Elephas maximus indicus: one gene and its partners. The protein of the gene in region 2 purifies or fractionates together with the protein of the main gene of each other region. This does not show direct contact. Links are inferred from orthologs where the notes say so. Each region holds a gene or a part of one and is shown on either strand. Other genes may lie near its edges. The genes, in order: SMARCD2, ACTL6A, VPS72 and PHF10.

The links.
Region 1: the proteins of ACTL6A (region 2) and SMARCD2 fractionate together in Homo sapiens (co-fractionation; 5 studies listed by BioGRID and IntAct, with this or other methods). This does not show direct contact. The link is inferred for Elephas maximus indicus from reciprocal best matches to the Homo sapiens genes ACTL6A and SMARCD2.
Region 3: the proteins of ACTL6A (region 2) and VPS72 purify together in Homo sapiens (affinity purification with mass spectrometry; 3 studies listed by BioGRID and IntAct, with this or other methods). This does not show direct contact. The link is inferred for Elephas maximus indicus from reciprocal best matches to the Homo sapiens genes ACTL6A and VPS72.
Region 4: the proteins of ACTL6A (region 2) and PHF10 purify together in Homo sapiens (affinity purification with mass spectrometry; 3 studies listed by BioGRID and IntAct, with this or other methods). This does not show direct contact. The link is inferred for Elephas maximus indicus from reciprocal best matches to the Homo sapiens genes ACTL6A and PHF10.

What each region holds. Positions count from the first base shown.
Region 1 is NC_064837.1:55,038,731-55,046,730, forward strand, and holds the start of SMARCD2 (SWI/SNF-related matrix-associated actin-dependent regulator of chromatin subfamily D member 2), read right to left. Parts: upstream 3,013-8,000; 5' UTR 2,709-3,012; coding exon 2,493-2,708; intron 1-2,492. UniProt on the Homo sapiens protein: Involved in transcriptional activation and repression of select genes by chromatin remodeling (alteration of DNA-nucleosome topology).
Region 2 is NC_064819.1:35,368,391-35,375,470, forward strand, and holds the start of ACTL6A (actin-like protein 6A), read right to left. Parts: upstream 3,017-7,080; 5' UTR 2,817-3,016; coding exon 2,792-2,816; intron 2,763-2,791; exon of another isoform or gene 2,514-2,762; intron 1-2,513.
Region 3 is NC_064821.1:185,214,237-185,221,861, forward strand, and holds the start of VPS72 (vacuolar protein sorting-associated protein 72 homolog), read right to left. Parts: upstream 3,017-7,625; 5' UTR 2,913-3,016; coding exon 2,796-2,912; intron 1-2,795. UniProt on the Homo sapiens protein: Deposition-and-exchange histone chaperone specific for H2AZ1, specifically chaperones H2AZ1 and deposits it into nucleosomes.
Region 4 is NC_064819.1:242,847,832-242,855,207, forward strand, and holds the start of PHF10 (PHD finger protein 10), read right to left. Parts: upstream 3,006-7,376; 5' UTR 2,983-3,005; coding exon 2,896-2,982; intron 1-2,895. UniProt on the Homo sapiens protein: Involved in transcription activity regulation by chromatin remodeling. Belongs to the neural progenitors-specific chromatin remodeling complex (npBAF complex) and is required for the proliferation of neural progenitors.

The DNA of each region.
Region 1 (8,000 bases), on a different chromosome or scaffold from region 2:
CCCCAGCTTGGCCCTGCCAAGCTCCACAGCTAGCCTTTGAAGCATCAGTAACTCCTCCCCCTTCAAAAAAATAACCCAGGAATTAAAAAAAAAAAAAAAAAAAGCCCAGAACTCTCAGCTCTTGGCATTCCAGATTATGCAGCCTGCAGCCCAGCTAGGTGGGCTTGACTCAGTCCCCTGACCCTCAGAAGCATGCAGTAACCTCCCCTCTTTGGCCCAGCACAGGCCATATTGTAAGCTTGGCTCCACCACCACCACCACCACCACCAGGACAGCAGGGGCAGAAGGCTGGGCCTGATGCTGTGGGCCTCCAGCTGAGGAATCCAGACCTCAAGAGAGCACGTTCTTCACTGCCCCAAGCCTGTGGCCCCGACACTCCTGGTGGCTGGGCCTCAGTTAGAGGAGAACATATTCCCCATGAGCAGCAAGTATTCTAAATTCTCCAGAATAAACCCAGCAATTCGTGGTGCCTGCGTGCGTGCACAGGTGGGAGCATACGCGTATGTGTGCACTTCTGATTTTCTGGTGTTTTGAAGCTCCTCCGCTGACTGTTCGAACCAGTGTCTAGAGGGAGCTGGTTCATCACGCCCCTCTTTTCCGTTGGCTCCCCTAATTTGCCTAGCTCAGGCCCTCGAATGTCTGCTCTTCCACCTCACCTAACGAGCCCTCATAGACAGGAACTGCTCTTGCTCCTCAGATCCGGGAGTCAAACCACCCCCCTTAGAAAGAGGGCAAGCAGATCCTCCTACTTCCAAACTCACCAAAGTGAGCTGGATTCTCCCTCTCCACATCTACGGATGGGATGGGAAGCCTTGGGAAGCAGAGGGTCGGTGCCTTCCCCTAGTTCCCCACCATAAAGCCCAGGCCACTCGGCCAGCCACCTCGGCCTTGCTGCAGTACCACGGCCACTCCCCACAAAACCTTGTGGGATCAATCCTAGAAGGGGCTTTCCTAAGGGCACATTTCCCATGGGGTGCATGCCAAGGGAGCTGAACAGTCTCCTCTCCGATTTCAGGTCTCCCCAGGCCTAAGGCTCACAGAGAGACTCACAGTCCAGGTCTCAGCTAACAGGCCCAAGGGCTATAATGGTCCATGTGGAGACCCCTCAGGGACACTTGGGCCCATGAATCCCCAAAGGGGAGGGCAAGGTGGGAAAGATGGACTCCAGCTGGAGGCCTTGGGGCCAGGTCAATCTCTGTCCATATTCACACCTTCTGTTTTCTTTTGGGAGAGGAGAGAAAGAGACAGAGCATAAGAGGAAAAAAAAAAATCACTGTCCCCCGTTAACTATTTCTTTAGAAAGTGACGGCTCTGCACACATCCTACCCCATGAGGGACCACTTCCAGGACCTCTCCCAGGTGACATGAGGAGGGGTCAAAGGAAGTCCCAGTGTAGACCTTGGGAGATTAGTAAGAAGCCTGTGCCAAATGCTGGGGCACACGGGCTGGGATATGGTGGTATGAGACCCTTAAGGCTAAATGAAAATGGAGAAGGGGTAAAAAGGACGGACAATTCTCAAGCATTCTGGGGCCACCTGAAACAACGGACGGGACAAGGGGACTGTTGAGTCCCACCAGCAGGGTCAGGCAGAGTTCCTCACACACTGACCCTGAGGATCCAGTCTGTGCCTCTCAAAGCCTTTGGAGCTCTCCTCACAAACTCCAAAGGGGTCAGGACAGTAGGGTCCTTCGAAGTGACTCTCCCAGCTCCTTCCACCCCAGACCAGCAGGGCTCAGTGGAGCTTCCCTGCTCCTCCAGACTAATCAACTCCTGGACACTATGACAACAGGCACAAAGCCAAGAAGAGAACGGCCGGAACGGTCTGTCACGGGGCTAGGCTTTTCTTCCTCAGCCTGACCACCACGGTCTCTGCTCTAACTCAGTCACCCCATTAAGTGGAATCCCCTTGCTCTGTCCTCAGCCTCCCACGCTCTGGGAAGCCAGGCTCTTCTTCCTCTTAAGCAGCTGGGAGCCATCTAAGAACGCAGCCAGCCAACAGGACAGGGCATGCTAAACTCTCCCAGTTCCGGACTAGAAAAACCAGGGTAGACTTGGGGTGGGACGAGGTCAATGCAGCAAAACCCTGATTTCTCAGTGAGGGCCCTTGAGGCTCCCCTTTTCCAAAACTTTCTCGTCACTTCCCAGGACCCCAACCCAGGATCTACGCCAGATTTCTCAGAGCCACACATTCACTAGCTCCTACGACTCCTATATCTCACTCAGAATCCCAGCCCCCACGGGACCCCCAGACCCTCCGAACTGCTTCAAACCCTCCACCCCAGAGACCCTCTTACCCTTTTCCCCCAACTCCTCCACCACCTCCCGGCTGCACCCTGAGGGTCCCTGGTTTTGTCTTCCACATATCCCATGAGACCCCGTGCAGGGACTATGCCCTCTGCCCAGGAGGCACTCCCAGGGCCTCTACCCGCGCGCCCGCTCTGTCCCTGCCCGGGGCGCCCTCGCGGCTCCGCCCGCCCAGCCACCGCCTTACCTGGTACGGCGCTGCGGGCCCCGCGGGCCCCATGGGGCGGAAGGCGGCGGCCGCGGGGCCCCCCACGCCTCCAGCCGGCCCTGGTCCCCTGAGCGCCGGTCCGGGCAGCATGCCGGGTCCCGCGGGGGGAGGTGGCGCCCCCAGGGCCGCGGCCACGGCGCTGCCGCCGGGGCTCAGCGGGGGCAGCGGGAACCCGCCCGCGCCACGACCCGACATCGCTCCGTCCCGTCCGGCGGTGTCGCGATCCGGACTCCGGGCTTCGCGACGAATCCGGTCCGTGCTCCGTGCTCCGGGACTTTCCGATCTAAATTCCGGGTTCTGCCAATCCGAGTTCTGGGGTTTGCTGATCCGGGTTCCGGGATTTCCTAATCCAAGTTCGGGAGTTGCTCACTGACCCGGTTTGGGCTAGGGCCAATCCTGATTCCGCTCCTGTCGTGCAAATTCCGGATCCGGGATCTGCTACGCGCCCGCCCGCCGCCCCCGAGCCGCGGCAAGTTGAGCCGCCGGCGCCCAGCTTACCCAGAGGCTGCAACTAGCTCCCTGCCCCGCCCAACCCAGCCCTGCAGTAGGCCCCGCCTACCTCTAGCTGCCCAATGCTAGGATGCCTCCTCAAATCCCGCCCCTCGCGAGACCCGCCCCTAGCAGGCACCGCCCCTAACTGCCGGCCCCCCCCAGGCCCCGCCCACAATGCTAGGGCCGGCCCTTCGCCGGAGGGGCGGGAGAGGAAGCTTAGCCCGGAAACGCCAAGCAAGGCTCGGGGTCAGAAGTCGAAGGTTACATGGGGCCGCCACACTGACTGGGGTAGTTGCTGCTCTCTCTCTGGTGTAGCCGCCAGACTTTACGTAGTTTTGTCAGATATCCTTTTTACATTTTCAGCATTAAAGACAAATAAGGGCTGCTCTCTGGGGCAGAACAGCTGCCAACTCGGCTTTCTTATAAAGCTCTTCCTGGTGGCTCAGAGCTGCCAAAGGACATCAGCGGTTCCAGACCCGACCCAGCTGTGTTAAGGGTCGACTTGGCTAATTGCTAAATTCTTCTCGTGCATTTTTAACATGGCTTTGCCTCACTTTAAGGAAGCCCAGTACTTGACTTCACATGAAGTTTTTCTAGGTGAAGAAAATTTGGACTATGAAAAATCTCCCTGCAGTTAAATAAGGTGTTTCTCCAGTAGTTATAGCACTTCATTTTTCAAAAATCCAGGTAGCTTACCTTAGGTGATCTGAGGTCTCCTCCCCTAATACAGACCAGTGCTTCACAAGCTTTTATGAGCATACAGGACACCTAAGGCTCACATTAAAAATGTTGATTATGATTCAATAGCCCTGATGGTGCAACAGTTTTAAGTACTTGGCTGCTACCTGAAAGGTTGGTGGTTTGAACTTACTCAGTGGCTCTGGGAGAGGGACCTGGCAATCTGCTCCTGTAAAGATTAACCAAAAACCCAAATCCATTGCTGTCCAGTCGATTCCGACTTATAGCCACCATATAGGACAGTGTAGAATTGCCCCGTAGGGTTTCCAAGGCTGTAATCTTTAGAGAGGAGCCTTGGTGGTGCAGTGGTTAAGGGCTCAGCTGCTAACCAGAAGGTCAGCAGTTCAAATCCACCAGCTGCTCCTTGGAAACCTTATGGGGCAGTTCTACTCTGTCCTGTAGGGTCACTATGAGTCTGGATTGACTGGTCAGCAATGGGTTTGGTTTTTGGTTTTAATCTTTAGGGAAGCTGACTGCCACATCTTTCTCCTGACGCCTAAAAATTACAGCCTAGGAAACCCTATGGAGCAGTTCTACTCTGTCACATGGGGTTGCCATAAGTCAAAATCAACTTGATGGCATCTAACAACAACAAGGTCTGGAGTGGGGCCCAAGATTCTGTATTTCTAACAAATTCTCAAGCGATGCTGTTGCTACTCAGACCACACTTTGAGTGGCCAAAGTAAAAGACTGTTTGGCCTATTTGGCCCTAATCCTCTGCTTTATGTTTTCATCCCCAAGCAAGTGATTGCTTACCTCCTTGTACCATAGCACCCTAGAGCTTGTTTATAGCACAGCCCTCCAGTCCTTTTTAGAAATTAGTTTTCCTGATATGTACCTCCTTGTATCTTTCTTCCAGTGATAAACCCTGCTATTGCTGCTGCTTTGCTACCTCTTGGTCCTCTCAGTTTCCTCTTCCTCCTCAAAAGTCAGTTTACCTGCCAGTCTAGGGACCAAAAAAAGCTCATCGCTGTCAAATTGATTCTGACTCATAGCAACCATAAAGACAGAGTAGAACTACGCCAGTGGGTTTCCAAGGCTGTAAGTCTTTATGGAAACAGACTGCCACATCTCTCTCACGGAGCGACAGGTGGGTTCGAACCACCAGCCTTTCAGTTAGCAGCCAGGCTGAACCACTGTGCTGAAACACTGCATCGCCAGGGCTTTGGCAGTCTAGGGACAGGTCACCAGAATTGTTACATTCATTGAGCAGTGGTCTCTTCCCCTCACCTGTAAGATGGGTAAAGAGGTCATGATAAGGCAGTTAACATCCATTTCAACCCTTCTAAGCTCCTTCAGCAGGAGTTCTCAAGGAAGTGGTAGGGGTGGTAGAGAATCAAAATCGCCAGGGGAGCTGTTCCAAGAATATTCCTACCAGCCCCCTTCTTCAAATCCAGTAAGGAAGGGGGGACTCCCTGTACTGTATTTTAAGAATAAGCCTTCCAGTTATTTCTGATACAACCCCCCTTCTAGAGAACTACTGCTTTGGAAAAGAGGCTGCTAGTATGTGCACTTAAAAACAGATAAAACAGTTCAGTGTAAACCAGACCCTACTAATCCCTCGTTTAATATCCTTCCCAGCTCATCATTGCTGTTAGATTGAATGTCACCCTCCCTTTCATGACATATAAGTGTTCTACAAGGACATGGCACTTGCTTACCTCTTTGGCACATTTTAAATCTCAGCCATTGGCTTTCTAAGGGCCAACAAGAAGATGGTCTCCCTGCAGTTTTTCAAACTGCAAGCCCCTTCCCGCCTCAGAGCCTTCTGCCCCCAGCTCATTCTAGCTTTTCCACTGTCTCCCTTACTTCCTTTACTTCCTGTCAAGTGATTATCACAATATGTAATTACTTACTTATGTGTACGCAATTTATTGTCAAGTAGCCCTGGTGGCATAGTGATTTCAGCTGCTTGCCGAAAGGTTGGTAGTTAGAACCCACGGGAGAAAGATGTGGCAGTCTGCTTCCATAAAGATTACAGCCTTGGAAACCCTATGGGGCAGTTCTGCTGTCCTGTAGGGTTGCTATGAGTCAGAATCAGTTCAACAGCAATGGGTTTTTTGGTTAGCTTACTGTCTGATCTGGTTCCCCCACTAAAATATAAACTCTGTGAAGGCAGGAACTGTGCCTCTCTTCATCACTGTTGTAACCTATTCAACTCATATTTAGGAATGAATAAATGAGCTATGAGTGTAGTGGGAGAGAATGATAAACAGATAATGTCAAGAATAACTTAATTATTGTGATGAAAATATCTTCAAGATATTAGGGGGAAAATACCGATATCTAAGGCATGATAGAGATTAAGAAAGATTTCCCGTAGGGTAGGCAGAAAATAACCCAAAACCAAACCTGTTGCTGTCAAGTCAATTCTGAAAATAAAAAAATAGCTAACATTTGTTAAGCATTTACCATGTGCCTGCACATATTACCTTTTTAATCCTTACAATGTATATGAGATACATACTATATATGATGTGTTGTTGTTGTCAGGTGCCATCGAGTTGGTTCCAGTTCATAGTGACCCTGTCTGTGTTCAAAAGAACAAAACACTGCCTCATCCTGCGCCATCCTCACAATCGTTGCTATGTTTGAGCCCACTATTGCAGCCACCGTGTCAATTCATCAGGTAGACGGTCTTCCTCTTTTTTGCTAACCCTCGCTTTACCAAGCATAATGTCCTTTTCCAGGAACAGTTCCCTCTTGATAACATGTCAAAAGTATGAAGATGAAGTCTTGCCATCCTTGTTTCTAAGGAACATTCTGGCCGTACTTCTTCCAAGACAGACTTGTTCGTTCTTCTGGCAATCCATGGTATATTCAATATTCTTCACAACACCATAATTCAAAGGCATCAATTCTTCCTTGGTCTTCCTTATTCATTGTTCAACTTTCACATGCAAAATTTACACATGGTAAGATCAACCTTTTTAGGTGTAGTTTTTTTAAGTTTGAAGAAATGAGTACAGTCATATAACTACCATCACAATCAAGATAAATGACATTTCCATCATTGCAAGTTCCTTCATATCCCTTTGAGGGCAATAGAGTCCCCTATCCCCATCCGCAGCCCTTGGCAACCACTGATCTGATTTGTCTCTGTAGCGTTGCCTTTGCCAGAATGTCATATAAATGCTCTAGCATCCACAACCTAGGCACTTAACCACTACGCAAAATTTATTACCTCTTGTTGGTAGCTGAGTCTGTTATTACTTGCAAATAAATAGTGTTCAAGCTAGTGTCATCCGGAATCAGAGAAAAATAAGTTGATTAGTAGGTCCTGATTAATCAGACAAGGTTTCCTGGAGCCCTTTGGTTTGAAGGAGATGCTATTAGTGGTTACCTAATAGGCAAATGGAATCTGCTGTCTCACCTCAGGACAATTCAAGATCTTGTGAAAAAAGCACTGAGTTAAGGCTAAAGAATAGATAGAGATGGGGGAAGAGACACACCCACCCTCATAGGACTTAATTATGCAGCTCGTTATTAGACATTGCAGTCATGGAGGCATCATTCCATGCCTTTGTTCCCTCAGCAAGGAATGCCTTTTTCTCTCTTCCCCTTCTTCCCTCCATACTTAGTCTGCTCACTGCCCACTTTTTGGAGATCCGTTTCAACAACTTTTATTGAGGCCTTCCAGTCTAGAGAAAGGGCTTTCCCATAACCTTTCCGTCTTGATCCTGTTGCATCTACAGAGAGATTGGAACGGAACTATTTAATTTAATAAAGTATTGAGAAAAATGTTTTATTGTGCATTAGGTAAAAGTTTACAGAGCAAATTAGTTCCTCATTCGATAGTTTGAACATGAAGTGTTCCATGACATTGGTTTTATTCCCTACATAATGTCAGCGCTCTCCCCATTTCCGTCCTAGTTTCTCTGTTTCCTTTCGTCCTGATTTTCTACCCCTTCCTGCCTTCTCATCTTTGCTTTTGGGCAAATGTCCCTCTTTTGATCTCCTATAATTGATTATTCTAAGGAGCACATTCCTGTCAGGTGTTACTGTTTATTTTACGGGCCTGTCTATGGTTTGGCTGACAGGTGGTCTCCAGGAACGGCTTCAGTTCCAATTCAGAGCTTGTCTTAGGGCCATAGTCTTGGGGTTCCTCCAGTCTCTGTCAGACCAGTAAGTCTGGTCTTTTTTGTGAATTTAATTTTTTGTTCTATAATTTTTCCTCCAGCTCTGTTTGGGACTCTCTTTTGCTATCCTAGCCAGAGCAGTCGGTAGTGGTAGCCAGGCACCATATAGTTCTTCTGA
Region 2 (7,080 bases):
CGTGTTCCTCCCTTTTGGCTTTCTAACTCCAGATCTTTGCACACTTTATTAAAATACTTTGTCTTCTCCAGCCACCCTTTAAAATCTTCTGTTCAGCTCACTTTCTTCATCATCTCTTTCATTTGCTTTAGCTACTCCACGTTCAAGAGCAAGTTTCAGAGTCTCTTCTGACATTCATTTTGGTCTTTCTCTTTTCAGTCTTTTTAATGACCTTTTGTTTTCCTCATGTATGATGTTCTTGATGTCTGGTCTTTGGTCATCAGCGTTCAATGCATCAAATCTATTCTTGAGATGATCTCTAAATTCAGCTGGGATATACTCAAGGTCATACTTTGGCTCTCATGGATTTGTTTTAATTTTCTTTAACTTGCTTCAAGTTGAACTTGCATATGAGCAACTGATGTTCTGTTCCACAGTCGGTTCCTGGCCTTGTTCTGACTGATGATATTGAGCTTCTCCATTGTCTCTTTCTACAGATACAGTCGATCTGATTCCTATATATTCCATCTGGCGAGGTCCACGTGTATAGCTGCCATTTATGTTGCTGAAAATTGGTACATGCAATGAAAAAGTCAGTGGTCTTTCAAAATTCTATCACATGATCTCCGGCATCACTTCCACCACCAAGGCCGTATATTCTAACTACCAATCCTTCTTCATTTCCAACTTTTGCATTCCAATCACCAGTAATTATCAAGGCATCTTGATTGCACGTTTGATCAATTTCAGACTGCAGAAGTTGGTAAAAATCTTCAATTTATTCACCTTTGGCATTAGTGGTTGGTGCATAAATTTGAATAATAGTCGTATTAACTGGCCTTTCTTGTAGGCGAATGGATATTATCCTACGACTGGTAGGGTTTAATTCAGGATATATCTTGAAATGTTCTTTTTGATGATGAATTTGACACCATTCCTCTTCAAGTTGTTGTTACTGGCATAGTCAGCCATACGATCGTCCTATTCAAAATGGCCAATACCAGTCCATTTCAACTCACTAACAACGCCTAGGACATCAACCATTATGTGTTCCATTTCATTTCTGATGAGACGGGATTAGAGGCAGTTATGTTAATGAGGCAGGACTCAATCTACAGGATTAGGTTATATCTTGAGTCAATCTCTTTTGAGATATAAAAGAGAGAATCAAGCAGAGAGGAGATGGACCTCACACCAGGAGAGGAAGGGGTCCTTTGGACCCCGGGTTCCTGTGCTGAGAAGCTCCTAGACCAGGGGAAGACTGATGACAAGGACGTTCCCCCAGAGTCAACAGAAAGAAAACCTTCCCCTAGAGCCGGTGCCCTGAATTCAGACTTCTAGTCTTCTAAACTGTGAGAAAATAAATTTCTGTTAAAGTCACCCACTTGTGGTATTTCTGTTATAGGAGCAATAGATAGCTGAGACACCCTGTCAGGAAATACTTCTTGGATCAGTGAACCTAAAGTCGTAATAACATCAACAGCCTCCACGAGGCACAGGGCACATAGACGCTGTTTTTCTGTCAGGATTGCACCTTTAGACTGGGAAGACGTAAATCATGAAGATCCTCTAGGACCTCTCCAAAATAATAGTGGGAAACTACTGACTCTTACATTCAGAAATGAAAACCAAGGACATAAACAAAAAGGGAGAGAGGGGGCAAGGGTCCCTATACTACCTCAGAAGAGACTCTGAAACTACACTCCAAAAACTAAGAACTTTGAAGCTTTGTTTTTGTTTACCCCCTACCCAAAAAATGCCATCTTCAGAAAAGAAATCCCTACTAGAAACAGTAACAATGCCCATACTTTGGATTTGTCTCCTTGTTCTCTAACTCATCAAACACAATGCAAAATGTGAACCATATACATCAGTGCTTCAAATCACCCGGGAATCTTACAAAAATACAGGATCTGATTCAGTAGATTTAGAGGAAGGCCTAAGATTCTGCATTTCTACAAAGCTCCCACGTGATGCTTATACTGCTGGTCCATGAACCTCACTGAGTAATATGGATACGCATTATCTCAGTTTACCTTCACGACCACCCCCTCAGGTAAGTATGATCGTTCTCATTCCATAAAGGAGGAGCCTCAAGTGGAGAGGTGACTCGCCCCAAGGGCCGAACAAATGGGGCGGATGATATTACCGCGCAGGTCTGTGTCGGTCCCAGGCCCGCTGTGATCTTCCCCCACACCACAGCCTACCCACAGAAACAAACCAAAAGGCACGCGGGATGGCGGCAAGCTCTCTGCGACACCCTTCAATCACACGTGTTCCGCAAGTAATCCCAAACAAACCCGCCCACGAGGAACTCTGGGGACTCCAGTCAGGGCCCCCAGTCAGGGGTCCCAGTCAGGGACTCCAGTCAACAAAGCGCCGGGAGCTACTGAAGGCGGGAGGCATCGCGGACGGAGGGCTGGTCCCGAGCGGCCGCCGCGCCTCCAAGCCCTTCCGCCCGTCGCGGCGCGCTCTGCGATTCAGGCTCCACGCTAGCGAACTGCCGGACCTCCCAAGCCCGAGCTCACACGCACCCCGACGCGGCCGGCTGTGGAGACTCCGGAAAACGGCGGCCCCGAGCGGAGCTCCTGCGCAGCCCGAGCCCGAGCGCCCTCCAGGGGCCGCGGAAGGGCCCGAGCCCGAGGCGCTCACCGAGCCCGGGGGTCTGGGGCGGGCAGAGCGCAGGGCGGGGATGGGGCGGGGAGCCGGTCCCGAGTGGGAAACCCGAAAGGGCCGACGAGGAGGGATGCGGACGGCAGTCACGGACCCCACACTCCAGGAGCCGCGCTCCCTTCTGGCCGCACTCACTCACCTCCCCCGTACACACCACCGCTCATGGTTGCTTCTGGCGCGACGCCTACGCCACAAGACACCCGGCCAAGGAACCGCAGCGGCTGCAACTGCAGGTCCCACGACGCGTTACGCCGACCCCCTCAACTTCCAACGCCACGCCCCTCAGGCAACAAAGCAGCGTCCGCACACCCTGGAGCACAGCCACACTTGCTGGCCCCTCCTGCCAGCCAAACACGAGCGGCCCAGGCTACGCTCTGGCCATTCAGAATGAACCTATGCTGCTTCCCTGCCGCGGCTCAGCTAGTTTAGCCAATCGAAGGCAGCCATGGGGAGTGGGAGGGGAGGGAGCGACGCAAAGAGAGAATGAGTTGGGCTGCGGAACTGGAAGGGCGGGGCTTACCGGGGTGGGCGGGGAGAGTGTGGTGGCGCAGGAGGATGAGGAGGAAGGCTGGACGGCAGTGTCGGGGGCGGGTCCGGGGGTGTGGCTGGGCTGCGGGGAGCGACGGGAACCGGGTAAAGGAAGGCAAACCACCCGTAAAATAAAAAAAAAACCAAACCGGTTGTCGTGGAGTCGATTCCGACCCATAGCGACCCTATGGACTGAGCAGAACTACCGTTGGGTTTCCAAGGACCGGCGGGTGGATTCGAACTGTCGACCTTTCCTTTGGGAGCTGAGCTCTAAACCACTGCGCCACCAGGGCTCCAACCACTGGAAGTAGAGTCTAGAAATTCAAAGTGTTTTCATGCAGTGATTCCTGGCTTTGGAATGTGATGAATGAGGAATATTTTTTCTTTTAGAAAAAGTAGTTTTCACTAACTTTTATGTTGAAAAAATTAAAATATTTAGGGTACAAGGAATCAGTAAATCAAACGAACTGAAAGGATCCTGGAATTTTTTAAATGGTTGCTAATAATTTAAAGGAGAAAGACATAACAAGTAAATTTAGGTAGCACTTTATACTGTCATCCTTTATTTTTAATCCTGTGAGATAGGTTTCAATCAACCCTCATCCCAGCAACCACCTAATCCTAAATCTATCCTAATCCTAATCCTAAATCTATCTCCAGACTGTTCATAGTCCCCTGTTTCCACCCGTCTGGTCCAGTCCAGATCACAGTGGCTTCTTCCCTGGATTACTCCAACAACTTGTTACTCTGCCTTTTCACCACACTACAGGACGCTTAATCTTTACAAAATCTGGCCATGCCAGTCCAACTCGGACACTTAACGGTGTTGCATATCCTTGCGGTTAATATCAGTTCTTAAGTTAGTATATCTAGAGTTTGGACAGATAGCCGCTACTCTTTAGGATCGATTGAATAAAGCCCCCATCAATCTCAGAGCCAGCAGAGTGGGAAAGAGATGAGAATTGGGGTGCTGAACAGGGCTAGTGAGAAAACTCCCATTCATTTGACAATAGGACTATCTCACATCACATCTGATTATTTAACCCATCATTTAACCCAATGAGGTAATGCAGGGGTTTGCTAACTGTCGCCTGAAGGCCAAACCCAGCCTGTCATCTGTTTTTGTATGACCTATTACTAGAGCTAAGAATGGTTATTACATTTTTAAGAGTTTACCAAAAAACAACAAAAAAAATTTTTAAGCATAGTATTTCATGATGTGAAAATTTAAATTTTGGTGACCATAAACTACGTTTTAGTGAAACACATACAAGCTCGTTCACTTATAGCTGCTTTCACTCCATAAAAGCAGAGTTGACTAGTTGTAACAGAGACAGTGTGGTCCACTAATCCTAAAATACTTTCTCAGACCCTTTTCAGGAGAAGTTTGCCAACCCTGCAGATAACACATGTAATGGAGGGTGCACCGAGGTACGCTGTGTTAACTGTGGTCCCCATGATTGTAGCTCACTGTAGGGGCATCTCAAATCCCCAAAATGCTTCTACTTCCACTCTGTTTTTATGATGTGTTTGGCTAATAAAGCTGATGATTTATAAAATATTGTGATACTTTGATCTTTAATAGTTAAATATTGAAGAGATACTATTTGTAAGTTTTTTAAATTAGTAATGCATTTAATCAATTTAGCATTTGAATGCATAGTAATTCATAATGAAAAACTCTATCAATCAAGAACATTGTCTGAGACTTCAACTTGCTTACTTTGAATGCGTCATACTAGGTCCAGTCACCGGAGAAGGATATCATGTTTGTAAAGTTGAGAGCCAGCAAAGGCATGGGAAATCCTCAGTAAGATGGACTGATAGAGTGGCAGAATCAATGGACTCAAACAGGCCAACAATCATGAAGATGGTATGGTCCTGGGCAACATTTTATTCTATTATACATGGAGTCTCAGCTAACACACACACACACACACCAACTTAAATGGATTATACATACTGCTCTTATTAATATTATCTCCATCGTCTCCCGTGCATGGAAAAGAATATATTCTAGAAATAAGATACCTACCTTATTTGTGCAGCAGAGGAGAAGCCTGGGATGCTCAGACTGTCTTCTCCCACCATCTTCACACTGCAGTGCGGGGGGCAGGGGGAATCTCAGATATGATAGTACCAAGAAGAGAGCTAGAGAGAAGACTGCTAAGTCATGCTTGGATGTGTTTGATTTTAAAGGAAGGATTTTGCCCTCTTTGGTAATTTGGAGAAATATTAGAAAGCAGACCATTCATAATTTCAGGTCAGCCTGTTTTCTTGATGTATCACTGAACTCATTGTGTTTATTAACCATTGAAATGAGCTTCAAATGAAATGAACTTCTTCATGGTACATCTGATGTGTCAGTGCTCATCACATGTTAATGCAGATACAGGTGACTGTTAAGAAAGGACACTCATTGAGCTTCTTGGATCAGGTGGACACTTGGGACTATGTTGGTATCTCCTGCCTGGAGGGGAGATGAGAGGGTAGAGGGGGTTAGAAGCTGGCGAAACGGATATGAAAAGAGAGAGTGGAGGGAGGAAGTGGGCTGTATCATTAGGGGGAGAGTAATTGGGAGTATGTAGCAAGGTGTATATAAGTTTTTGTGTGAGAGACTAACTTGATTTGTAAACTTTCACTTAAAGCACAATAAAAATTATTAAAAAAAAAAAGAAAGGACACTCATTCAGCAGGCTAAACAAGCTGTTATACCATTGTCAATGCTGGGGAAACTTTTGCAATAGCAGCTTGTTTTCTTCCATTCTCATAATTAGAAAAATTAGTAGAAAATACATTAAAAGTATTAACCCAGCAGAATCTACTTTACCAAACGTGAAATACCTGAGGCTTTTTTTTCCTGCATTAATATTTCTCCTCTGTAGCCTAACACAAGGCGCTCTGGTAGCACAGTGTTAAAGCAATTAATAACAAAAAGGTGGGCGTTCGAAACCTCCAGCCCACTGCTTGGGAGAAAGACATCTCTTCCATAGAGATTTACAGTCTTGGAAACCCCATGGGGTCACTATGGGGATCACTCAATGGCAGTGCATTTGAGTGGGTACCCTAGTATGTTTTCTCTAATGTAAACTCTGCTACATTATGTTACAGATAGTTTCCCCCCCCCCCCAACTCAAGGAAGCCTCACGTGTGTCAGAATAGAACTGTGCTCCACAGGCTTTTCAATGCCTGATTTTTCTGAAGTAGATCGCCAGGCTTTTCTTCCAAGGTGCCTCGGGGTGGACTCGAACCTCCAACCTTTCACTTTGCACCACCCAGGAACTCCTACAGACAGCTAGTCAAATTTAAAAACAACAACAATAGATGCTACTCAAGGTTACTATCTGTCACTTCCATTTCACGGGCATAACATATCAAAATAGTCAATGCTTATTAGTTATGTCAACCTAAACCCAAAAGAGATTGAAATAGCATGTGTGTTAACTTACCTAGCCCACAGTAGATGCTCAGTGGTTGACTCTGAATCCAAATCTACAAAAACATGTGCACTTTCAAAACTCCTTTAGAAAATCCAAGCATCCAGACTGTCTTCCATGTACTGAGGGACAGCACTTGGTTTTGCCTCATGGAGGCACTGGTCTTCCATTCTTGTAATGCTGCATCTGGACACTTGGGATGCTACAGCTTTACTCCTTTTGTCACTGGCTCCCCAGTCCTCAGGTTATAGAATCACAGCAGTTATTGCAAAAAGACTGCTCTTGTCCTTTGTCTCAGCCTTTATTAAGTTTAGAGTTGAAAAAAACTGTTATTAATGCAATCTAGGATACAAATTCAGAACATTAGCATCCATCTGTTAAGACAGGTCCTAAAGGAAATGACACAAACATTCAGGTACACTTAAAATTATGTTATTTCATAACATAATTTTATATATGACAC
Region 3 (7,625 bases), on a different chromosome or scaffold from region 2:
CCAAAGAAAAGAAGGAATCATGAGCGGATGGAATAACAGAAACAAAGGTACAGAAGCAGGAATTTGTAAAGCATGTTTATGGAATAAGGATTTAGACCCAAGTAGAGCAGAGAGTTTGTCTCTGGCAAAAAGCCTTCCTAGCTGAAGGCCTTTGAATCTGGCACAGTCAACCATCTTCCAACATTAACTGATTGCCCTTCAGTATTTTACGATTTGAAAAGACAGCTGCATTCAGTCTATAGAGAAGCTTATATGCCAGGCATGACTTTAATATGCAGGCCAATGATTCTCAATCTTCTTCCTCCCCTTATTTGTCCTAGCACTATTACCACTGTTGAGGTAAACTAACATCACTGAGAGAAATGTCTCATTTCTCAGGTGTGCTGGGAGAGACAAACAGTTGGGTGCTACTACTATGGGTAATGGGGAATGTGGAAGATTTGGGAGAGGCGAAAACAGTGTGACAAAGGAGTGTTTCAAAAAGCTCTGGAGGTGGTTAGATGGGCTGAAGTAGAGCTTGGAGTACAGCCTAAGCCTGAGATGATGCAGGTTAGGGCTAGAGTGGGAGCCACCACGGAAAGGGAAGAGAAAAAAGCACTTGGGAGAAGGGAACTCAACTGGGCTGGGCAGCACCTCAAACATGTGGCTCTCTCTTCAATCAGTGGTACAGATTGATGGGCTAATCTTGGTACACATGCTACCAAAGCAAGCAAATAACACTGATGGGTGACACTCCAAGCTGGCCAGAGTTCAGTCTTGCAGTGATGACCATCATTTCCTCCCAACTGAAGTTTGTGAAAGACGGCCTCAGAGCACATTAATCCTCTCAGCTCTAACCAGTATTAAGTCGTATCACTAGAGGGTAGTAGTTCAACTACACATTAGCTTAGTGCTCAACCGAAGTGCTTTCACTAAATCATGAGTTTACTATTACTCTTTTGGTTTTTAATGACGGTCATTAATAGGCATGACTAGATAAGAAAATGTTTTTATACCCATAAAACCACTATTACTTAATATACTTTATAAAAAACGGAATGATAAATTTTTCCTGGAATTTAATGCTGAGTAAGTTTGTCTCTTTTGATGGAAGTACTTACATGCTTCTTTCTTATTAAAAAAAAAAAAGAAAGAGAGAAATTCAGGGTTTAGCTGTCAAGAAGCTCATAGCTAAATTTAATATCAACTGCTATTACCATTTTAGCATAGGCTCCTGGTACAATTATCTGATCTGTCTCTATTTTTACTGTTCCTACTTTTTGTTTATATAATAAGCCTTCTTAAATCCTTTTTGGAAGCATGAAGGGTACATATTAAATAACTACTCATAAAATGACAGGAATAGGAAAATGGGCTGAGGGGAATTGGCCTTGGAGGAGGGATGAGAAAGTTCTATTTTAAACTACTTGGTTAAGGCTGTGTAAGTATGACTCCTAATCAGTCCCTAAGTCTATGGATTCTATTTCCTTACTTTCTCTTGAATCCTCCTGTCCATGTTTCTCCCTCCCACAGCCACAACTTCAGTTTAGACCACTATTATCTCTTGCCTGGATTTTTGCAACTGCCTAATCTGGTTTCTTTGTTTCTAGTCTTGTCCCCTTCAAACTATTCCCCTCACACAGAGTACTCTTTCTAAAGTATAAATCTGACTATGGAACTTGGATGAAGCGTCTCACTCTAAAGAAAAAAACTCCTTAATTTGGCTCACAATGCCCCCTATATGATCTGGCCCATGCCTATTTCCTCCAGCCTTTCCAATCTTTATTCTTCTTCATCCTCTGGAAAATGGGGTAGACTTGGGGGTTCCCAGACAAGACCTGAATCTCAGTGCTTTTACACACTCTTCCTCACCCCCTCCAGTGTACTGATTGGTCCCCTCCCCCAGCTCCCAGCCCTACAGCTCTTCAACCAGCCAAAGTCTACTCTTAATACTGTCTTCAGCTTAAACATCATCTCTCCTTGGATGGCTATGCTGACCACAACTCTGGCTCCCATGGGTTACCATAGCATCCTATGTTTACCTCTTATTTTACTGCTTATCACACAATATTTTAACTGCCTGTTAACCCAACTAGTTCTCCCATGCAGGTATGAAATGTTAAGGACAGTGTTTTTAATACTCTGTTTTCTTAGAGGCTATTACAGTGCCTGGGATGCTCTGGGTGCTCAATGATATTTAATAAATGGATTTGGTCAATAAAAATCTAAGGAGTGACATTAGACATATACTGTTGAGCAAAACAGACTATCTCTAAACTTGTAGAGCTTACAACCTAATAGGAAAATATAAACAAATAAGTAAACCAAATCCAATTACAAATTGAAATATGTCCTATGAATGCAACAAATGGGGACACTTTTTCAGGTCAAAGAAGAGTTACCTAAGGAGACATTTACAGTGAGACTTGAAGCCTGAAAAAAGGAATGTGCTAAGCCCCTCTATCTTTTGGAGAGATTACTTTCTACATGTCAGTTAAATAACCAGGCAGCTGGCCAACGAGTATATACCGAATGACTACGATGTGCCTTGCATGGGGTGAGAGATGCAGCTAGAGAAATACACAGTAGGTTTCTCCCACACTCTGCTGTCTCCCTCCAGAGAGCCTCTCCACCCCTGACTCCCTTCAGCCCTGTCCAGGGCTCTGTTCTCTAGGACTCCACTGTGTATCCCCAGACTCTCTCACCCCGTCTCGAGTATCTGCGTCCAGGACTCCTCTCTATTCCCGTTCCCTTCTTCTTTGGCAGGACTCCTCTTTTCGTTTTCTCCCCTCCCTCTACCTGGGCCCGGCTCTTGCCTCTGTGAAACCCCCATAAGTCGTCTGGTAGAACTCATCTTCCTCCTCGGCCTCTAGAAGCCCAGAAAGCCGGTTCCCGGCGGTCTTCCGCGGGGCTCGGCCCCCAGCCAAACTCATACCGCGCACCGAGAGTACGCCGCCGCCTGCGGCCCCTCACCCAGCTCGGGTCTCGGAGCTCGGCGCTTGACACCACTACCTGCGTGTGACCGATGCAACGGAAGCGGGGCGTCTACAGGCAGAAGCAGCAGAGCGTCGAGGGCCTCCAGCCTTCTTTACTCTTCAGCCCCGCCCACTACTGCGCAGAGCCTCTGCTACCCCTGCCTTATCCCGCAGGGGCTTCGGCTGTGGGAAGCATGCCATCCCTGGCGCTGAGAGCCTTACTACCGTTAAGTCCAGAATTTGCGAGTCGAACAGTTTCCTTTTAGAAGAGGTCATTGTCCCCCTGCTCCAGTCCGTTTTCCGCTCTGCTGCTAGTAAGAAACTTTCTAAAAACTTGTACGTGACTTTGCCACTCTTCTGCTCAAAACCTTCAATGGCTCTCCATCTTCCACAGGATAGAGTCTAAGCTCCTCGAGGCAGAACAGTATTGTGATTAAGAGCACAGTTTTAGAGCCTACTAAACCTGAGTTCGAATGTGAGCTTTAAGGTCTTCCAGCTGTGTGACCTTACCTCTTTGAATCTCATTTCCTCATCTGTAAAATGGGGCTAATAATACCTTTTAAGGCTGTTGTGAAGATTAAAAAATATACTTATTAACTGATTAGCACAATTTTAGTCCGCACATGGTAGATGTTTAGTAGATGATCACTACTATTAATGTGCCATTCAAGAGCCTTCCTAACTTACCCTCTTCTTGCTTTTTTAATCTCACTTCTGCCACATCTCCATGTATATCCAGCATCACTCCCTTGAACCCAATTCTCTGTTATACCTCCAAGCTTCTTCTTCTTAGAATCCCTGTCCTACACATGAGACCGTGTTGGTATCTCCTGTCTGGAGAGGAGATGAGAGGGCAGAGGGGGCCAGAAGCTGCCCGAACGGACACGAAGACAGACGGTGGAGGGAAGAAGTGTGCTGTCTCATTAGGCGGAGAGCAATTAGGAGTGTACAGAAAGGTGTATAAATTTTTATATGACAGACTGACTTGATTTGTAAACTTTCACTTAAAACACAATAAAAATTATTTAAAAAAATTCCTGTCCTTTCTTGTCTACCTGGAAACATTCTTATTCTATAGGGGAGTCAGGAGTACTGAAGGAAGAAGTCCAAGTTGCTGTGAAGGCATTGGCGAAAAACAGGGCTCCAGGAATTGGTGGAATATCAATTGAGATGTTTCAACAAACAGATGAAGCACTGGAGGTGTTCACTCGTCTATGCCAAGAAATATGGAAGACAACTTCCTGGCCAACTGACTGGAAGAGATCCATATTTATGCCTGTTCCCAAGAAAGGCGATCCAACCAAATGTGGAAATTATAGAACAATATCATTAACATTACACGCAAGCAGAATTTTACTGAAGATCATTCAAAAACGGCTGCAGCAGTATATCCACAGGGGACTGCCAGAAATTCAGGCTGATTTCAGAAGAGGACGTGGAACCAGGGATATCATTGCTGATGTCAGATGGATCCTGGCTGAAAGCAGAGAATACCAGAAGGATGTTTACGTGTGTTTTATTGACTATAAAAAGGCATTCGACTGTGTGGGTCATAATAGATTATGGATAACATTGAGAAGAATGGGAATTCCAGAACACTTAATTGTGCTCATGAGGAACCTTTACATACATAGATCAAGAGGCAGTTGTTCAGACAGAATAAGGGGATACTGATTGGTTTAAAGTCAAGAAAGGGTGCATCAGGGTTGTATTCTTTCACCATACCTATTCAATCTGTATGCTGAGCAAATAATCCGAGAAGCTGGACTAAATGAAGAACAGGTCATCAGGTTTGGAGGAAGACTCATTAACAACCTGTGTTATGCAGATGATACAACCTTGCTTGCTGAAAGTGAAGAGGACTTGAAGCACTTACTAATGAAGATCAAAGACCACACCGTTCAGTATGGATTGCACCTCAACATAAAGAAAACAAAAATCCTCACAACTGGACCAATGAGCAACATCATAATAAAGGGAGAAAAGATCGAAGTTGTCAAGGATTTCATTTTACTTGGATCCACAATCAACAGCCATGGAAGCAGTAGTCAAGAAATCAAAAGACGCATTGCATTGCGTAAATCTGCTGCAAAGGACCTCTTTAAAATGTTGAAAAGCAAAGGTGTCACCCTGAAGACTAAGGTGCGCCTGACCCAAGCCATGGTATTTTCAATCTCATCATATACATGTGTAAGCTGAACCAATGAATAAGGAAGACCAAAGAAAAATTGATGCCTTTGAATTGCGGTGTTGGTGAAGAATGTTGACTATACCGTGGACTGCCAAAAGAATGAACAAGTCTGTCTTGGAAGAAGTACAACCAGAATGCTTATTAGAAGCATGGATGGTGAGACTGCGTCTTACATACTTTGGATGTGTTGTCAGGAGGGATCAGTCCCTAAAGAAGGACATCATACTTGGTAAAGTACGGGGTCAGCGGAAAAGAGGAAGACCCTCAACGAGGTGGACTGACACAGTGGCTGCAACGTAACAACGATTGTGAGAATGGCGCAGGACCAGGCAGTGTTTTGTTTTGTTGTGCATAGGGTCGCTATGAGTCGAAACCGACTCGACGGCAACAACATAGGGCAGTCAAGTCTTTCCTCACATCCATTCCTCTCGTTCCAGGCACAGTTCCCATAACTATGGCGATCATGCCTCCTGGAGTCTCTGGAATAGTTTCAATTTATTTTGTGACATTTTCAGAATTCTGTGTCTACTTCTGTTCCCATTTTTCATCCTGAAAATGTAGTTGTCAAACCATAGCACTTGTACATAACTCCATGATGAGACCTTTTGTTGTAACGATTTGGGTGTCTGTCTCCTTTATTAGTTTATGATCTTTTTGAGGGCAGGGACTTTATCTTCATCTCTTATGCCAGGAGCTTTCATACTGCCTGGGGCAGTTGTGGCTAAATAATGTACATTGAATGATGGAATTAGCATATTACAAATGGAATGAATTAGTACCTGTGCTCTTATTCTTGCCTCTGTGTTGCTTTTGCCAGCCACCAGCCATTCCATTCTGACTTTAGGAACTGTACTAAGACATAAAGGAAGCTTTTCTAAAGCTGTGTGTTTGTGTGTATGTCTTCCTGGCCATATTTTGTGGCCACCACATTGCGCCTTTTCCTAAAGTATATATTGGTGAACTCCCTTTTTCACTTCCTTGGGGGCACCAAGCCAACTTGTCCCGCCCTGCCCCTGCATCCACACCCTGCCACGTCACCCCAGTTTTGCTATGCCAGGAATGTTACTGCCCTCTATGACTCAGAGGGCACCCTGGGGATGGAGTGGGAGTGGGGACAGAGACAAGGTTTGGGGGTGGGCGTGAGATGCCTACTTCTTAAATACCCCTAGCTCCACTTCTTGAATTTTGCCTTCATCCATTCATATATTCAGGAGGTATGTATTGGGTACCTACTCTGTTCCAGATGTTTGAGATATTAAAATTGACGTCATCTTTGTCCTGAAGGGTTCATAGTCCTATTAGGGAGACAAATAGGTACACAAACTGACATAATACAAGGTGGTAGGTATCTAATAGTAACCATTTTCTGGTACATAAAGCAGAAACTAAGACTCTTAAGAAGCCACCAAACAGGGGTGTCTTCTTTCAGGATGGCTGAAGTCAAATTCACCCCTTCATCCAAGTGACAGATCAGATCCCTTTGTTTGACCTCCTGCCCTGGTAACTTAGGGCTTTATTGGTCTTTTTCCAATTTTTAAATCAGAAACAGCTTTACCTCTATACCAGCTGATAGCTAAAATAACTCAGGAAACGGTAGCAACTCCATGCTTTATATGGAAACGGAGATAATCAATAAATATTGAACACCCACTATGAGCCCAATCCTGAGCTAGGCAGTGTGCCCCCACACAGTCCCTGTACTGTTTAGTTGGGTGGGGGGTATAGAATTAAAAAAAAAAAAGAATTAGGCATCATAAAATACTTCAACACTGCACAATTCCACTGCTGTGAAGTTACCAATGTCAATCCAATCCTTTGAAGTAGTTGTCTACTTTCATACCCCAAAGAGGAAGAATAATCCAGCAGGTGGCAGCAGGGAAACAATCTTGGATCTAGTAGGGGAAGGATAGATAGAAGGGGATATTCTATGGACATTCGGGTCCTAGATTCCTTCAAAAACCCGGAATATCTGGATAGAATAACTAGGCCCCATCTTGAGGGCTATAAAACTTATACGTGTTTTTTTTTTCCTCATTTATCTTCATTGATTCATTCAACCATTAATTATTGAGCCCCTGCGATGTACACAATCATGATGAGGAGCCGGAAATGCAACAGTAAACCGAACAGTTCCTGCTGTCCAGTAGTTTACAATCTGTTCAGACAGGTTTCTGAATCACCACCAGGGTTCAGAACCTCCAAGGTACTTTGTTAAAACTGGAGTGGGTTAGTGGAGTGGGTTAGTGCGAAGACTAGACGATGGAAATTGGGCAGTTTCTCTGTTTCATCTCTATGACCTGTGGAGCACAGAGAATGGAGAGTTGGAGGCTAAGGGTTTGGATCACGCAAAGGTTTTGATATGGTCTAATGGTCTTCCATTAGCAAAGAAAGGGAAGATGTCACTGTGAATACTAGGGTGCACCTCACCCAAGCCGTGGTGTTTTCAATAGCCTCATACGCATGCAAAAGCTGAGCAGTGA
Region 4 (7,376 bases), about 210 Mb from region 2:
AATTTAGCAAAAATATACCCTAAAAAGTCATCAATCTGTACAGCCATACTCACATCCCCCAAAAAGGAGAGATTTAAAAACTTTTAATGCAATCCTTTATGTGACAAGAATATCAAAGGTGGTGTAAACAGTTAACCTGTTCTGCTGATAACTGAAAGGCTGGAGATTTGAATTCACCCAGAGCTGCCTCAGAAGAAAGGCCTGGTGATTTACTTCCAAAAAATCAGTCACTGAAAACCCTGTGGGGCACAGTTCTCTTCTGGCACGCATGGAGTCACGATGAGTGGCAACCAACTCCAGGGTAACTGGTTTTTAACTGTTTAAGTTCAACATTTCCATTAAGGAAATGAAATGAGGAATTAGACATTAGGAAATTGATTTATTCACATACTAGTCAAGGGGTAAGCCATGGTGTTTCCAATCGCCTCATATGCACGTGAAAGCTGGATAACAAATAAGGAAGACCAAAGAGGAATTGATGCCTTTGAATCATAGTGTTGGCAAAGAATATTGAATATACCATGAACTGCCAAAAGAACAAACAAACCTATCTTGGAAGAAGTACCGCCAGAATGCTTCTTGGAAGCAAGGATGGCAAGACTTCGTCTCACATACTTTGGACAAGTTATTCAGAAGAGATCAGTCCCTGGAGAAGGACATCATGCTTGGAAAAGTAGACTGTCAATAAAAAAGGGGAAGACTTTCAAGGAGATGGATTGACACTGTGGCTGTAACAATGGCCTCAAGCATAACAATGATTGTGAGGATGGCACAGAACCAGGCAGTGTTTCGTTCTGTTGTACACAAGGCCACTATGAGTCAGAGCCAGCTAGAAGGCACTTAACAAGATCTAAAAACACAGATTTTTTAAAAATCAAATTACTGTAACTTTCTAATACTAATACAATTTTGTTAACATACCACAGGCCTCTTGCTACATACTAAAATGAAAGGAACCCTACAAAGGAAAACAAAGATGCAGTATGGGGTAGTGATCACGCATGGAATCACCGGATGCTGCCCCTCTGTAGAGCTTGCGTGCTCATCCTTTAGGGGCCTCTCCTTATCTGTAAAGTCAAGATGGTAACAGTGCCCATTTCATGTGGTTAACGCAAGGATTAAATGAGTTAACGCATGGAAAGCACATAGAGCAATGCCTAGGAAATAATGAACCAAACCCACTGCCATCAAGTCGATTCTGACTCACAGGGACCTTATAGGACAGAGTAGAACTGCCCTATAGGGTTTTAAAGGAGTGGTTGGTGAATTCGAACTGTTGATCTTTTGGTCAGCAGCTGAGCTCCCTTAGCCTCAGCTTAAATGTTCAATAAATGTTAGTTAATATTATGATTATAATGGTAATTATTCAAATATCTCAAACGTCTCCAGCTGTTAGGAATTTACTCACATCCTTCCCCACTCAGTAAAATGTACAAAATACTGTTTTTCAGTCCTTATAAAGTAAGCATTCAACTAAAGAGATCTGTATATTCTTATTAAGACCATCAGCCAGGTAGGACCTGGAGAATAGTCTAAAGCTACTCTCAGAAATTTTACATTGAAATAACTACTAAAAAAAACTACTAATCAACTACAATTAAGTAGTATTACAACTGCAACATTTCATATTCAATACCTCTAGAGTTCAACAGTCAAAGTATCCTTATTTTTTGACTTGCTTGTAAACATTTTAAGGATTTTTAAGTCAATCTGCTTAAAAATATTTCTCTTTAGCTAAAAAATTGAGATACTCAATAATAAAAGTTAAAATAAGTCCTCAAAAAGCTGAAACCACAACTCCATATATAAAGAGTTTGCAATTTGCTATCCTAGGCAAATGGATTATTATGTAAGAATTCGGTTAGCTCACCTTTTTCAAGACAATGCCAGCAATGTCTTCCCCAACATACTATGGAATAGAATTAAGTCCTAAGAGTTTACTGGAAACCTTGACCTATGTTTTCAAAAACTCCCAAACGTCCCAAACAGACATTTACGTTTCGTGGTTACAGGTGGCTCCAACCTTCGATAAGGTACCCCGTCCTGCAGGCTGGATCCTGGCCGAGCCCAGCACATGCCAGCCTTGCATGAGATGCTGCAAGGACGACAGTGGTGTGCGGACAGACACCTGGTCTACTTAGGTTCACTGGCCGGGACACCTGAAACACCAGGTCCCCCAGAGGACAAGGAGCAGGAAGACGGCCGGCACAGGACAGCCTTGTGCGACCACAAGGTGTCTCCGTCGGCGCCAGCGTCCCGGCCGTGCTAGTTGAGCCATTCTACTAAGTTCACTAAAGAAACGTCCTGTTTCCAGGGCTGTTTACAACCCTCGTTTTAATAAGGGGTCAAGTATCTCGGAAAAAATTCACAGAATGATGTTTTGAGAACATCACACTATCCCACACTAATACGAAATAGACTTTTATTTATGAAGAGTTTCGTTTCTACCTGGAAGCACAACGCTTCTCTAATAAAGTCTGAGTAAGCTTTTCAGGAACTGAGCTTACAGTCTCAGATACGGAAATGGCCGCAAAGTTTTGGGAAAAGGCTTCCAATTCCCCCGTCCGCGTCTCGCCGTTTCGCGCTCCTTGAAAAGAGGAAACCACGCGCGAACCTGCCGCCCACGGAGCCCGCCGCCGGGGCCTGACTCCCGGACCGCCCCGTTTTCAGGGAAGGCGCCAGGGTGAACCGCCGCCGGGCAGCCGAGCACGTCCGGGGCCGGGGCGCCGTGAGGGCGCGGAGGAACAGAACTTCTCCGGAAACTCCCGGCGGCGGCGCCCCTCGGACCGGCCGCGGCTCCCCTCGGACCGGCCGCGGCCTCGGGCTGGCGGCGCCCACAGCTCCGCCCGGCCGCCGCGGGACCCGCCCGCCGCCCGCCTCCCGCCGCCTCCTCACCTTTGGGGACTGCGCTCCGGGGGCGGACGGGTCGCCGTCGCACAGGCGCGGGGACAGCGCCGACCCGGGGCCGGCCGCCGCCGCCATCAGCCCGAGCGCCCCGCGCCGCCGCCGTCGCCGCCGCCGCCGCCTGGTCCCGGCAGCTGCCGCCGCCGCCGCTGCCGCCGCCGCGCGGAGAGCCCGCCGCGCCCCGGGCCCCGCCCCCTCGGCCACCCCCGCCCGCCCGCCGCCCGGGGGCCGGCCCCTGCCGCCGCGCGCCCCGCGGCCCGCCGCCGCCATGGCCGCCGCCACCGCCATGGCCGCCGCCAGCGCCGCGCCGAGTGCCGCCGCCGAGAGGGCCGGAGAAGCAGGAGGCGACGCGGAGCCGGCGAGCGATGGCGGACGCTCTCGGCCCCCTCCTCACGTCACCCTCCCCTCCCACCGCCCTGCCGGCAACGCGGCCGCCGAGCCCCGCCCCGCCCGCCAGACGCAGGCCCTCCCTCGGCCCGGAAGCTCCTGGCAGCCCGGACCCTCCCCTCAGCCCGGACCCTCCCCTCAGCCCAGACCCTCCCCTCGGCCCGGACCCTCCCCTCACAGACCCTCCCCTCGGCCCGCACCCTCCCCTCAGCCCAGACCCTCCGGTCGGCCCAGACCCACCCCTCGGCCCGGCCCCCTCGCGGCCCAGGCCCTCCCCTCACAGACCCTCCCCTCACAGACCCCCCCCTCAGCCCGGACCCTCCGATCAGCCCGGACCCACCCCTCGGCCCGGCCCCCTCACGGCCCGGGCCCTCCCCTCACAGATCCTCCCCTCAGCCCGAACCCTCCGGTCGGCCCAGACCCACCCCTCGGCCCGGTCCCCTCGCGGCCCGGGCCCTCCCCTCACAGACCCTCCCCTCACAGACCCTCCCCTCACAGACCCTCCCCTCAGCCCGGACCCTCCGGTCAGCCCGGACCCACCCCTCGGCCCGGCCCCCTCACGGCCCGGGCCCTCCCCTCACAGACCCTCCCGTCAGCCCGGACCCTCCCCTCGGCCCGGCCCCCTCGCGGCCCGGGCCGTCCCCTCAGGCCGGACCCTCCCCTCGGCCCGCACCCTCCCCTCAGCCCGGACCCCGCCGTCACGGAGCCTCCCCTCAGCCTGCCCTCCTCGTCGCCCGAGCCCTCCCCTCACGAACCCTCCCCTCAGCCCACACCCCCTCGGCCCGCACCGTCCCCTCAGCCCGGACCCCCCCGTCACGGAGCCTGCCCTCAGCCCGTCCTCCTCGCCGCCGGAACCTTCCAATCACGGACCCTCCCCTCGGCCCGGACCTTCCCTCACGGACCCTCCCCTCAGCCCGCACTATCCCCTCAGCCGAGCCCCCTCACGTATCCCCCCCACGGCTCCGCCCCACCGCCCGTCCCAGACCCTCCCCTCACGGCCGGGCATCTCAACCTGGACCCTCCCCTCAGCCCGGCCCCCTCGCGGCCGGGACCTTCCCCTCACGGACCACCCCCGAGGCCCCGCCCCTCCACCTAGCCCCGCCCCCAGTTCCGCACCCTCAGCCGGACCCGGCGCTGCGCTTCCCGCACCCCTCAAGGCGGGCGCGCTCCTAGGCCCCGCCCCCTCTTGCCGCTGCTCTGCGTCCCGGCGCACTTCCGGCCCGCCTCTCTCCTCAGCCGGTTGCCCCCTCTCCGCGCCACCGCAGCCCGCGGGACCGACCCCTCCCCACGTTACTCTCTCCCTATTGTCCGCCCGTCAGCGCCCGCGGAGCCGCGCCGCTCCCGTCAGTGCTCGGACCCGGGAACGAGCCGTCACCGGTCCCACGGTGCCCTCAGGCCCCGGCCCCGCAGTCCCCGGTCCTAGCGCTGCCCCGCCTCTCCTCGCGACCGGCCCGCAGCCGCCTCCCGCGCCGTCTTTGTTCTCGCCGCCCGCTTCACGCAGACCCGGGAGCAGCCCTGGCGGCCGGCGGCTGAGGCGCTCCCGCGTGCGGCCCAGCGCGCGCCCACCCAGGCTCGGCGTGCGCACGCGGCGTCCGGGAGCGGCGGGAGCGGGGGCGGCGTCCGGGAGCGGCGGGCGCGAGCACACACGCCCTCAGCGCTGCCCGGCCCTGGCTCCGCGCGCCCGGCTCTCACGGGTGGCTCGTCAGGGTCACTGCAAAGCGCACTGCGCAAGCCCGTTGAGAGTAAACGGCGGCTCTCCGTTGCGGACTGAATCTATTACCACCCCTAGTCCTCCGGCCTCACGAGGCACTTCCAGGACTTCTCTAGAAAAGCAGAATGTTGGGGACTCAACCTTAACACGTGGGAGACAACTGTGACTGTCTCCGGAACTGCCAGAAATGAGTCAAAGCTGACCTCTCAGCAGGCGCTTGACTGTCAGAGTGTAGATGAGACGTTAGTCCGGGCAACTGGATTTAAAGTACAACATGGCTTCTCTCTCATTCATATTTTTGCCTACACGCAGCAGCCAAAAGTCTTGAGAGACATGAATGATTTTTTGTCCATCACGTTAATACAAACCACCCTCATTTACCCTCCCAGCCCACCCTTCCCGGGCCTTCTCACTTGCATCAAATCAGAGACGGCATCACCAACAACTTCAGGCTCCGGAACTTCTCCTAATTCAGACTTCGCTTTCTCCCACAACCTCAGTCAGACCTGCTCCCCGCCCTATTCCAGGAGCCCACGGTGGAAAACGGCCTGAAGTCCAGGCAAGAAGCTGAGAGTGAAGGTCGCAGATGCAGCCTTCCACCCACTCCATCCGGCCCCACCTCGCCCCAAAATTCTCTTCACTGTTCAGGGGACTCGGTCAGATTTCCGTGCAAAGAGCTTAATGTTAAATTATTCAGTTATTTTGCCCTACTCTTCTTAGCTATTCTGTCTCTAGACCAAATACGAATATAAAACATTTCATTTCAACAAATACTCAGACTACCAATGTGCAAGACAGGGAAGAGCACTAAGGAGGCAATTCTGAGTGACCTATTATTTTAGCTAGTTGCTGTCAGTGAATTGTGGAGACCCATGTGAATCAGAGTACAACCGTGCACCATAGAGTTTCCAATGGCTAATTTTTCAGAAGTAGATCACCAGGCCTTTCAAGGCGCTGCATGATGGGTTTGAACCACCAGCCTGTAGGTTAGCAGTCGAGTACAAACCATCTGTGCTACCCAGGGACTTCTTTTAAATGTATAGGGAAATGAAAAAAGTTGTAAAGCTAGTATTTATTTAGTATGTTTGTAATTTAAAACAGCAAAAACATTGAGAGTTCTTTGTTTAAAAAAAAAAGAGTAATGTGAACCTTGCTTGCCTTCTCATTCTATAACTTATCTTTCCTATACCTTGATAAATTGTCATACTCTTTTCTAAGTTTGGGTCAGCTTCCAACAAGTTCTCATTTGTATTTTCAATGTCGTGAATGCCTCCCAGAGTTTCCTCAATGTGGAGTTGCTCCATGTGGATATGGTCCCCTTTTGTCATGACTCTCCTGCGAGCTCTGGGTGCAGACGCCTGCAGTGTCATCACCTGCGCTAGCAGCTTACCAGATAGCCTGACATGAATCAATCATGCTGACTTCTGAAACAAGACCGGCCTTCACTGGCAGTAAAAGGTTCAGTCTCTTTATAATTACTGTTTTCTTTCAGTGGGACAACTGATTTCCACACTTTGTCCTGAGTGCTAATCAAACTGTCTGGTATTTATTATTATTATTATTAATGCAGTCTTCAAGCCAAGGTAGAAGAAAGTCTCCATTTCAATTGTGAACAGCTTTCTGTTCCTAGTGCAATTAAGCTAAAAAATACCGAAGCAACGTTACCTTGTTTTTTATATTCACTGCACTTTTTCCCGATGTTCCTACATTACCTTCACACAGGCCTAGATCTCATCCTGTCTTTGCTTTGCTGTCCTCATTTTGAAATCTCCTAATCACATCCAAATTTCCCTTCCAACTTTATCACTTTTTGTTTCTTTGCTGTACATTTTGACCTTTTTGGCCAGTTCCCCCTTTGGATTACCCATTTTTAATAAAACATCAAGTGGGTATATCACTGGGAGATGAGGAGGCAGCATAACTACACACTCTACTGTTTGTGCAAACTGAAGCCCTGAGTGCAGACACGCAGCGACCAACCTGACGGACTTCAAAAGAGGAGCATGACACACATCTGTTATCTCCATATGTGATCTGTGGATCAAAGAGCCAGCTGTGAAGTTTACCTTATGCAGTTTCTCACAGTTAATACACCATGGCAACTGAGATTTGGGCCATGTTGTTGGGGGACTAGTGTTATTTAGCTAAATGATGGTAACTAAAATTTATGCATATCAGAACACTGAAAAGCAAGTACTGCCTTATTAAATGGGTCTTCTATGTGGATACTTAAGTCACTAAGAATGGTGGCAGGAGTTGGGTAAAGAAGATTGTGATCCAGTAACACAAGTCTTCAAGTAATGAGAAGGAATAAGCCAGGGGACTACAGGCAATTGCAGCAAATGGAGGCAAAGGATTATGTATCCACAGGCCA